Macaca fascicularis: one gene and its partner. The protein of the gene in region 1 binds, or shares a complex with, the protein of each later gene. Links are inferred from orthologs where the notes say so. Each region holds a gene or a part of one and is shown on either strand. Other genes may lie near its edges.

The links. The genes of interacting proteins can lie anywhere in the genome.
Region 2: the proteins of GHRHR (region 1) and GHRH are in contact, whole or in part, in a cryo-EM structure (PDB 7CZ5), measured with the Homo sapiens proteins. The link is inferred for Macaca fascicularis from reciprocal best matches to the Homo sapiens genes GHRHR and GHRH. Residues at the interface, in NP_000814.2 of Homo sapiens: Leu119, Ala120, Glu122, Glu123, Phe126, Ser127, Val129, Lys130, Tyr133, Val179, Lys182, Leu186, Phe187, Asp190, Thr192, Asp193, His194, Cys195, Phe197, His210, Thr213, Phe217, Ala271, Cys272, Asp274, Leu275, Asp276, Trp282, Ile285, Ile289; in NP_066567.1 of Homo sapiens: Tyr32, Ala33, Asp34, Ala35, Ile36, Phe37, Thr38, Asn39, Ser40, Tyr41, Arg42, Val44, Leu45, Gly46, Gln47, Leu48, Ser49, Ala50, Leu53.

Annotation. Positions count from the first base shown.
Region 1 is NC_088377.1:99,322,625-99,326,276, reverse strand, and holds part of GHRHR (growth hormone-releasing hormone receptor), read left to right. Parts: intron 1-1,066; coding exon 1,067-1,169; intron 1,170-1,295; coding exon 1,296-1,403; intron 1,404-1,959; exon of another isoform or gene 1,960-2,033; coding exon of another isoform or gene 2,034-2,109; coding exon 2,110-2,207; intron 2,208-3,068; coding exon of another isoform or gene 3,069-3,164; intron 3,165-3,360; coding exon 3,361-3,458; intron 3,459-3,652.
Region 2 is NC_088384.1:93,361,178-93,364,829, reverse strand, and holds part of GHRH (somatoliberin), read left to right. Parts: intron 1-982; coding exon 983-1,102; intron 1,103-3,652. UniProt on the Homo sapiens protein: GRF is released by the hypothalamus and acts on the adenohypophyse to stimulate the secretion of growth hormone.

The DNA.
Region 1 (3,652 bases):
AATTTGGCCTCCCAAAGTGCTGGAATTACAGGCATGAGCCACTGCGCCCGGCCCCTGTCCTGCTTCTGATCACAGCTTGCACAGGGTCTATTAGGATCCAGCCCTTCTCCCTTCCCCAGCCACTCCTCTCCTGTGGAAGCCTCGGGGAACAGACGTCTACACTGGTTGACTCGGATGTGTGTTTTATATAAAAATGTGTATGCTGTATACCCAGTTCACAGTGCAGAAAGTCTGTTTTGTAAACTTGGCTTCCCTTCTATGTAACTGTTTGGGCTCTGGCCTACTGGGTGAGCAGTTTTGGTTTTCCTCCAGTTTGGGGCGGTGGGAGGGAGAAGTGCTAGAAATTGCTGCTGTTCATTCCCAGTTCCCTGGAGAACTTGTTAAAATGCAAAGTGCTAGATCCACCCTAGATCTCTGCATATCCCTGCTTCCATCCCAGTGGATCTCTAGTTGATTCTTGATAAACACTTTCAGAAGCACTGCTAGAAGATTTCCAAAAAAACCCCAACTTGTTTCCAGCTTCCAGAGATCATTTCTCATGGCCACTGTGTAGCACGAGATCTGGGAAGCTCCTAAAACTATAGTCTTTCAGGGTTGCTCAGCTGTCAAGGCTATGATCCTTTCATCTACACATCCATGGACCCACACATCCATCCTTACACAGCTCTCTCACTCATCCACCACGCACCCATCCATGCAGCCAGTCATCTGTCCGTCCATCCATCCGTCCATCCATCCATCCACCTCCCCAGCCATATATTTGTCTGTCTGTCTGTATACTCATCCATTCCACCAGCCAGCTGCCTAGGCAGTCACACCTACCTTCCTTTCTTCCTTCCTTCCTTTCTTCCTTCCTTCCTTCCTTCCTTCCTTCCTTCCTTCCTTCCTTCCTTCCTTGTATCTGAACATCCACCAAACACACCTGAAAGTACTGCGAGCAGGTCTTTGCTCAGGATTAGGGCACAGAAATGAATAAGGACTCGTCCCTGTTCTCAGGTCATGTGGACCACAGAGCCCAGAAAGGCACTCAATTGGCTTGGCTCATCCTGTTCACTGTTTCCAGCAGGTATTGGGCCACATGCACCCAGAATGTGACTTCATCACCCAGCTGAGAGAGGATGAGAGTGCCTGTCTACAAGCAGCAGAGGAGATGCCCAACGCCACCCTGGGTATGGGGCCTAGGAGGCAGGTGGCGGCTCCTCTGATTCCTTTGTGTCCTCTGGCATCACCCCTCAGATTACTGGGGCAGCCCTGTGGCTGGGCTGAGTCTCTGCTGCTCCCGGCTCTCTATCCAGGCTGCCCCAGGACCTGGGATGGGCTGCTGTGCTGGCCGACGGCAGGATCCGGCGAGTGGGTCACCCTCCCCTGCCCTGATTTCTTCTCTCACTTCAGCTCAGAGTCAGGTGAGGGGTCCTGGGTATGGCAGTGGGAAAGGGAGGTGCTTTCGTCTGGAAGTGGCAGAATCTGGCAGACACGTCGCTGGCTTTGGGGGCAGGCCGACCTGGGTTTGTATACCAACTTCCCCTCTTCTGGGGTGACCTCGGGCCCGTCAGTCAATCCTGACCTCTGCTTCCTGAGCTATGAACTGGGGAGAACGAAAGCAGTAACTGCGCAAGAAAGGATTAGAGTGCGGAACCTGTAAGTGCTGGACCTGGGTGCCCTCCAGTGTTAGCAGGAGGCTGGCTGCAAGGGTGGAGGAGGGCAGGCCTGCCTGTCTGCCAAGACACCACTAACTGCCCAGGATGGAGAGGGTGGGGCACCCGGCTGCTCTGCTTTACCTCCCTGGCCTGGGTGCCTGGACTGCGAGGGCCTCTTTTCTCCCCTGCTGCCTTTAGGAGGCTGGCAGCCCAGCTCACCACTCCCCACCCCTCAGGGGAGTAATCCTCTCTGTGCAGAGATGGTGCCCTGGAAGCCAGAGATGGAAGGCCCCATAGTGTGTCCCTGGGTAGGCTACACCTGGGCTCCAGGCCTCTGGAGTTGCCCTCTCTGTTGCTGAGAGGAACTGTCCATGCAAACCCTGCCAGGGTCACTTGATGGTCCATGGCACCCCCAGCCCCCTCCTGGGGAGAGGGAAGGGGTTGTGGCTAGAGAGTCTTGCTTGCCTCCCAGGGGCTGTGAAGCGGGATTGTACCATCACTGGCTGGTCTGAGCCCTTTCCACCTTACCCTGTGGCCTGCCCTGTGCCTCTGGAGCTGCTGGCTGAGGAGGTAAGAGGCTCCCGGCATCTTGGAGGAAGGACTGCCATGGACATTCGTATGGGTGGGTGCACAACGTCGGGGCCTCCATTCCCCAGCCTGCAGGTTGGAATATTCCTTACAGCGGTTTTCCAGCAGACAGCAGTGAAGCGTCTGGAGGAGAGGGGGTCTTCTGCTAAGTTACTCAAGGGTGACCCACGGGCCAAGTTACTTGGAGGGAGAAGCGGGGCAGAGGGCATGTGGGAGATCTGCTGCCTGCTGTCTTGGTTCCGTGTCCAGGTCTCCAGGGCAGGGAGCTTAAAGTGGTTCCAGAGGCAACAAGGATCCTGGCAGCCCTGGGAAGTTCCTTTTCTTCTCTGACCCTCAGTCTGTGGAGCAGTGTGCATGGTTGTGGTGTGGGCAAATGAGGGAAACTCAAGCCCAGAGTGATTGCAGAGAGCTCCTAATACCAGCGAGCACACCCACACTTCTGCATCCAGCAGGGCCTTTGCAAGGCACTCCCACACCCACCATCCTGTTTCTCTGTCCCCTTGATCTCTGAAAGGTAAAGCATGACTATAAGCATTTTTCAGATGGAAAGACTGAGTCAGGGACAGGCAGTGATTGCCTGGACCCCACAGGAGAGCTGGGATTGGGGCCAGTGCCCGGGCCCCTGCTCCCTTCCCTTGCCTGCACCCTCTATCTTCAGGGCCCGGCCGCACTCTGACTGATACAAACACTTGGCCATGGGAACCTTTAGCTTGCCTGCCTGTGGCTGTCCCCAGGTGTCCCTGGCTGTCTCCTTTATTTGGGGACGTTGTGTTCTTAAGCTGGTGAGCAAGCTGGATGTCAATAAACAAGCTGATTTCCTCTGGTGCTTTTGTCATTCCCCAGGGACCTGTAGTTTCTGTGGCTGCCTCTCCCCACCCCCAGAGCATCATGAGTGTTAAGCGTCTCCACTCCTCGCCACTGCTCCTCCCTCACCCGCAGGTCAGGTGGAAGGCAGGCTGGAAATGAAAGCCCTAGTGCATAGGGGGAGCTTTCCATGGTACCTGCGGACACCTCTGTCTCCAGATGGGCAATGTTGGGGTGGAATGGCAAAGGCTTCACCTGCTTGATTGCCAAGCCTCTCTTTCCCCCAAAAGGCCCTGAAGTTGAGAATTTCTTCCGTCTCTGCCCTTCCCAGGAATCTTACTTCTCCACAGTGAAGATTATCTACACCATGGGCCATAGCATCTCTATTGTAGCCCTCTTCGTGGCCATCACCATCCTGGTTGCTCTCAGGTTTGCCATCCTCATCACCAGCTCAAGAACCTTCCTTGGCTCCCTATTTCTCAGAGGGCCAAGTCTGCTTCCTTGCCTGCATAGCCATGAACTTCCCAGATCTAGGCACCATACCCATGTCTAACTTTCCCTTCCCTTTTCCCCACCATGTAGACCCATCTCTTCCAACACCAGAACTCACTCCTATCTCTGCC
Region 2 (3,652 bases), on another chromosome or scaffold:
CTATAGCCTGTATGTTTTTTAGTTTTTACTTTGAAAAAATCTCAAACTTACAAAAAAGTTGCAACAAAAGCACAATGGACTTCCATATACCCTTCCAATTCCTAACATTTTATCACATTTGCTTACTCTATATCTATAGCTAGATATAGATACATACCACAGAAACACATATGCACATTAAGTGTTGTTATCATTTTTGCTGAACCATTTGAGAGTAAATTGCAGTCATCATGACCCTCTACCTTTAGGTACTTCTGTATGTGTCTCCTAATACCTAACCAAAGGACATTTCCTTACATAATCATAATATAATTGTCAGTTATAATCCATTTTCAAATTTTACCAGTTGTCCCAAAATGTCCTTTATGACAATTATTTCTTTTTCTGATCTGGGACCCAATCTGGGATCATGGATACCATTTAGTTGTCATGTCTCTTCAGTTTCTTTTAATCTGGAATTGTTCCTCGGTCTTTCATGACATTGACAGTTTTGATTACTAAAGGCTAATGATTTATAGAATGTCTCTCATGTTGAATTTGCCAGACATATCCCCATGATTAGAGGATGCATTCCTCTAATGATGATTAGAGGAATCAGGTGATGCACTCACAGAAGTAATGTTGTGTCCTTCTCAGTGCCTGGTATCAGGAGGCACAGGATGGCAACTTGTGCCATTATTGGTGGATTATTGGTAGATGGTAACTTCGATCAGTTGGTTAACATGGTGTCTGCCAGGTTTCTCCTCTATAAAGTTATTTTTCCCTCTATAATTAATAATCTGTGGGGAGACGTTTTGCAACTGTATACATTTGTACTACTGTACTCTTCACTACTATATATACTGCCTCCCTAAGTGTGGCTGAATCTAATTCAGTTGGGTAGAAGAGTCCACACCAGATATTGAAATAGGCGTAGGGATATACCTCTGCCTCTCCACATCCTACCCAAATAGCAACTAGTTCTCTTTTTCTAACCACACAGAGAGAGAAACCAAGAGCGAGGAGCAAGGGCACGGCTTGGCCGTCAGGTGGACAGCGTGTGGGCAGAACAAAAGCAAATGGAATTGGAGAGCATCCTGGTGGCCCTGCTGCAGAAGCACAGGTATGGGTGTGTGTGCATGTGTGCTTCTAGGGACTTCAGGGCTTCCTACTCCATGGTTTGCTGGGAAAAGGAAAAAATCCACTCCTCTCTGAAGGTATGGGGCTCTGCCAAACAAACCAAGAACAAGGACCCTCCTGACAGACATTAAGAACTAGGAGAATGGCTGGGCATGGTGGCTCATGCCTGTAATCCCAGCACTTTGTGAGGCTGAGGTGGGTGGATCATCTGAGGTCAGGAGATCGACACCAACCTGGCCAACATGGCGAAACCCTGTCTTTACTAAAAATACAAAAATTAGCCAGGCGTAGTGGCTCACGCCTGTAATCCCAGCCACTTGGGAGGCTGAGGCAGGAGAATCGCTTGAAGCTGGGAGGCGGAGGTGTCAGTGAGCTGAGATGGCGCCATTGCACTCCAGCCTGGGCAACAGAGTAAGACTCTGTCTAAAAAAAAAAAAAAAAGGCCGGGCGCGGTGGCTCAAGCCTGTAATCCCAGCACTTTGGGAGGCCGAGACGGGCGGATCACGAGGTCAGGAGATCGAGACCATGCTGGCTAACACGGTGAAACCCCGTCTCTACTAAAAAATACAAAAAACTAGCCGGGCGAGGTGGCGGGCGCCTGTAGTCCCAGCTTCTCAGGAGGCTGAGGCAGGAGAATGGCGTGAACCCGGGAGGCGGAGCTTGCAGTGAGCTGAGATCCGGCCACTGCACTCCAGCCTGGGCGACAGAGCGAGACTCCGTCTCAAAAAAAAAAAAAAAAAAAAAAAAAGAACTAGGAAAGTGCCTGGGTGCGGTGGCTCATGCCTGTAATCCCAGCACTTTGGGAGGCTGATGGGGAAGAACCACTTGAGGCCAGGAGTTTGAGACCAGCTTGCCCAATATAGTGAGATCTCGTCTCAATCAATCAATCAATACTAGGAGAGTTCTTTAGACATGACGGGTGGGAAGTGTCTGATGGAGACCGCATCTTATCCACGGCTGTATCCCAGTGCGGAGCCAGAGGCCAGGCTCAGTGTCCATGCCCAAAAATGTTACTCACTGAATGGTTCCGGGATACGACCCAGAAATCTGAATTTTAACAGGTGTCCCCAAGGATTTGGCTGCAGGTGAACTGACAGGCATGCTCTGGATCCCTTGCCAAGTTCAAAAAACTATAAAGCCAAAGACAGACCAGCCCTCCCACACACTGTGGTAGATGAGTGTGCACAGACACACGATCAGCAGACGAGAGACGTGATGACTGTCATTCTCCAGCTCACTGGCCCTCATGTTTCTCCTGGGAGTCAGGGGAGATCGGAAATGAGTTACCTCATTTTACAGAGGAGGAAAAGTGAGGCAAAGAGGGGGTGGCAGCTGGCCCCAAATCAGGGACTGGCAGGCCCAAGACCTGTTCTTTGCACAAAGCCCCACTTCATGGGCAAAGTTTCCCAAAAATGTCTTGGCTGTTTGGAGAAACTCTGCTGGGGTTTAGAACCTGATTTTTTGTTGTTGTTGTTGTTGTTGGGATGCAGTTTCACTCTCATCACCCGGGCTGGAGTGCAGTAGCGTGATCTCAACTCACTACAACCTCCGCCTCCAGGGTTCAAGTGATTCTCAGCCTCCCGAGTAGCTGGGATTAGGTGCCTGCCACCATGCCCAGTTGATTTTTGTACTTTTAGTAGTGAACTCCTGACCTCAGGTGATCCGCCCTCCTCAGCCTCCCTAAGTGCTGGGATTACAGGCACCCGCCACCACACCCGGCTAACTTTTTGTACTTTTAGTAGAGATGGGGTTTCATCATGCTGGCCAGGCTGGTCTCGAACTCCTGACCTCAGGTGATCCACCTGCCTTGGCCTCCCAAAGTGCTGGGATTACAGGTGTGAGCCACCACAGCCGGCCTAGAGCCTGATTGAACTGCGAGCACAAGCAGGTCCCAGTGTGGCTCTGCTGGGCACTTCTGGTCCAATCTATTAAGCAAATCCAGTTCCCAGCAGAGCTCTCCGTGGCCTCTCTCCCCTTCTTCCCAACCCGATTAGACACCACCAGCCCAGAGATTTCACCATCTACAAGCAGCACCAGGCCTACGGCAGATGACAGGAGGGGCGACAACCAGGCTGGGAGGCGGGAAGAACGCCTGGACCCCAGGCCTGGTTCCGCAACTAGTGGCACAGCAACACGCTTCTTAGTTTCGACTCTGTGAAAGGAGGGGTTAGCTCTTACCATCTCTAGGGTCCGCAAGACTAGAGTTCAAAAATAATGTCTCTAAGAAGAATGCCTCCTCTGTGCCTCGCAGGCTGGGATTAGGTAATTGTTCACCTGCTATGGCTCTCATCAGGCCCCGGTAGGGTGGATGGCTCCAGGGAGGGCTAATCCTAAGAATGCAGGCTTTGTTCCTGCCAGTTAAAAGCCAGAGGCTTCACAGAGATTGAAGTCATAGAGCCCGCAGAGCTGGCAGGAAGGGTCCCGAAGGCTGCTACAGCCATTGTTCCCCCTCCAGCTGGACTGCTGCAAATACCAGGATATCACTGGTGAGCAGGAATAAGTTCCTGCTTTAGAGTGCAGAGGAGAGCCATGT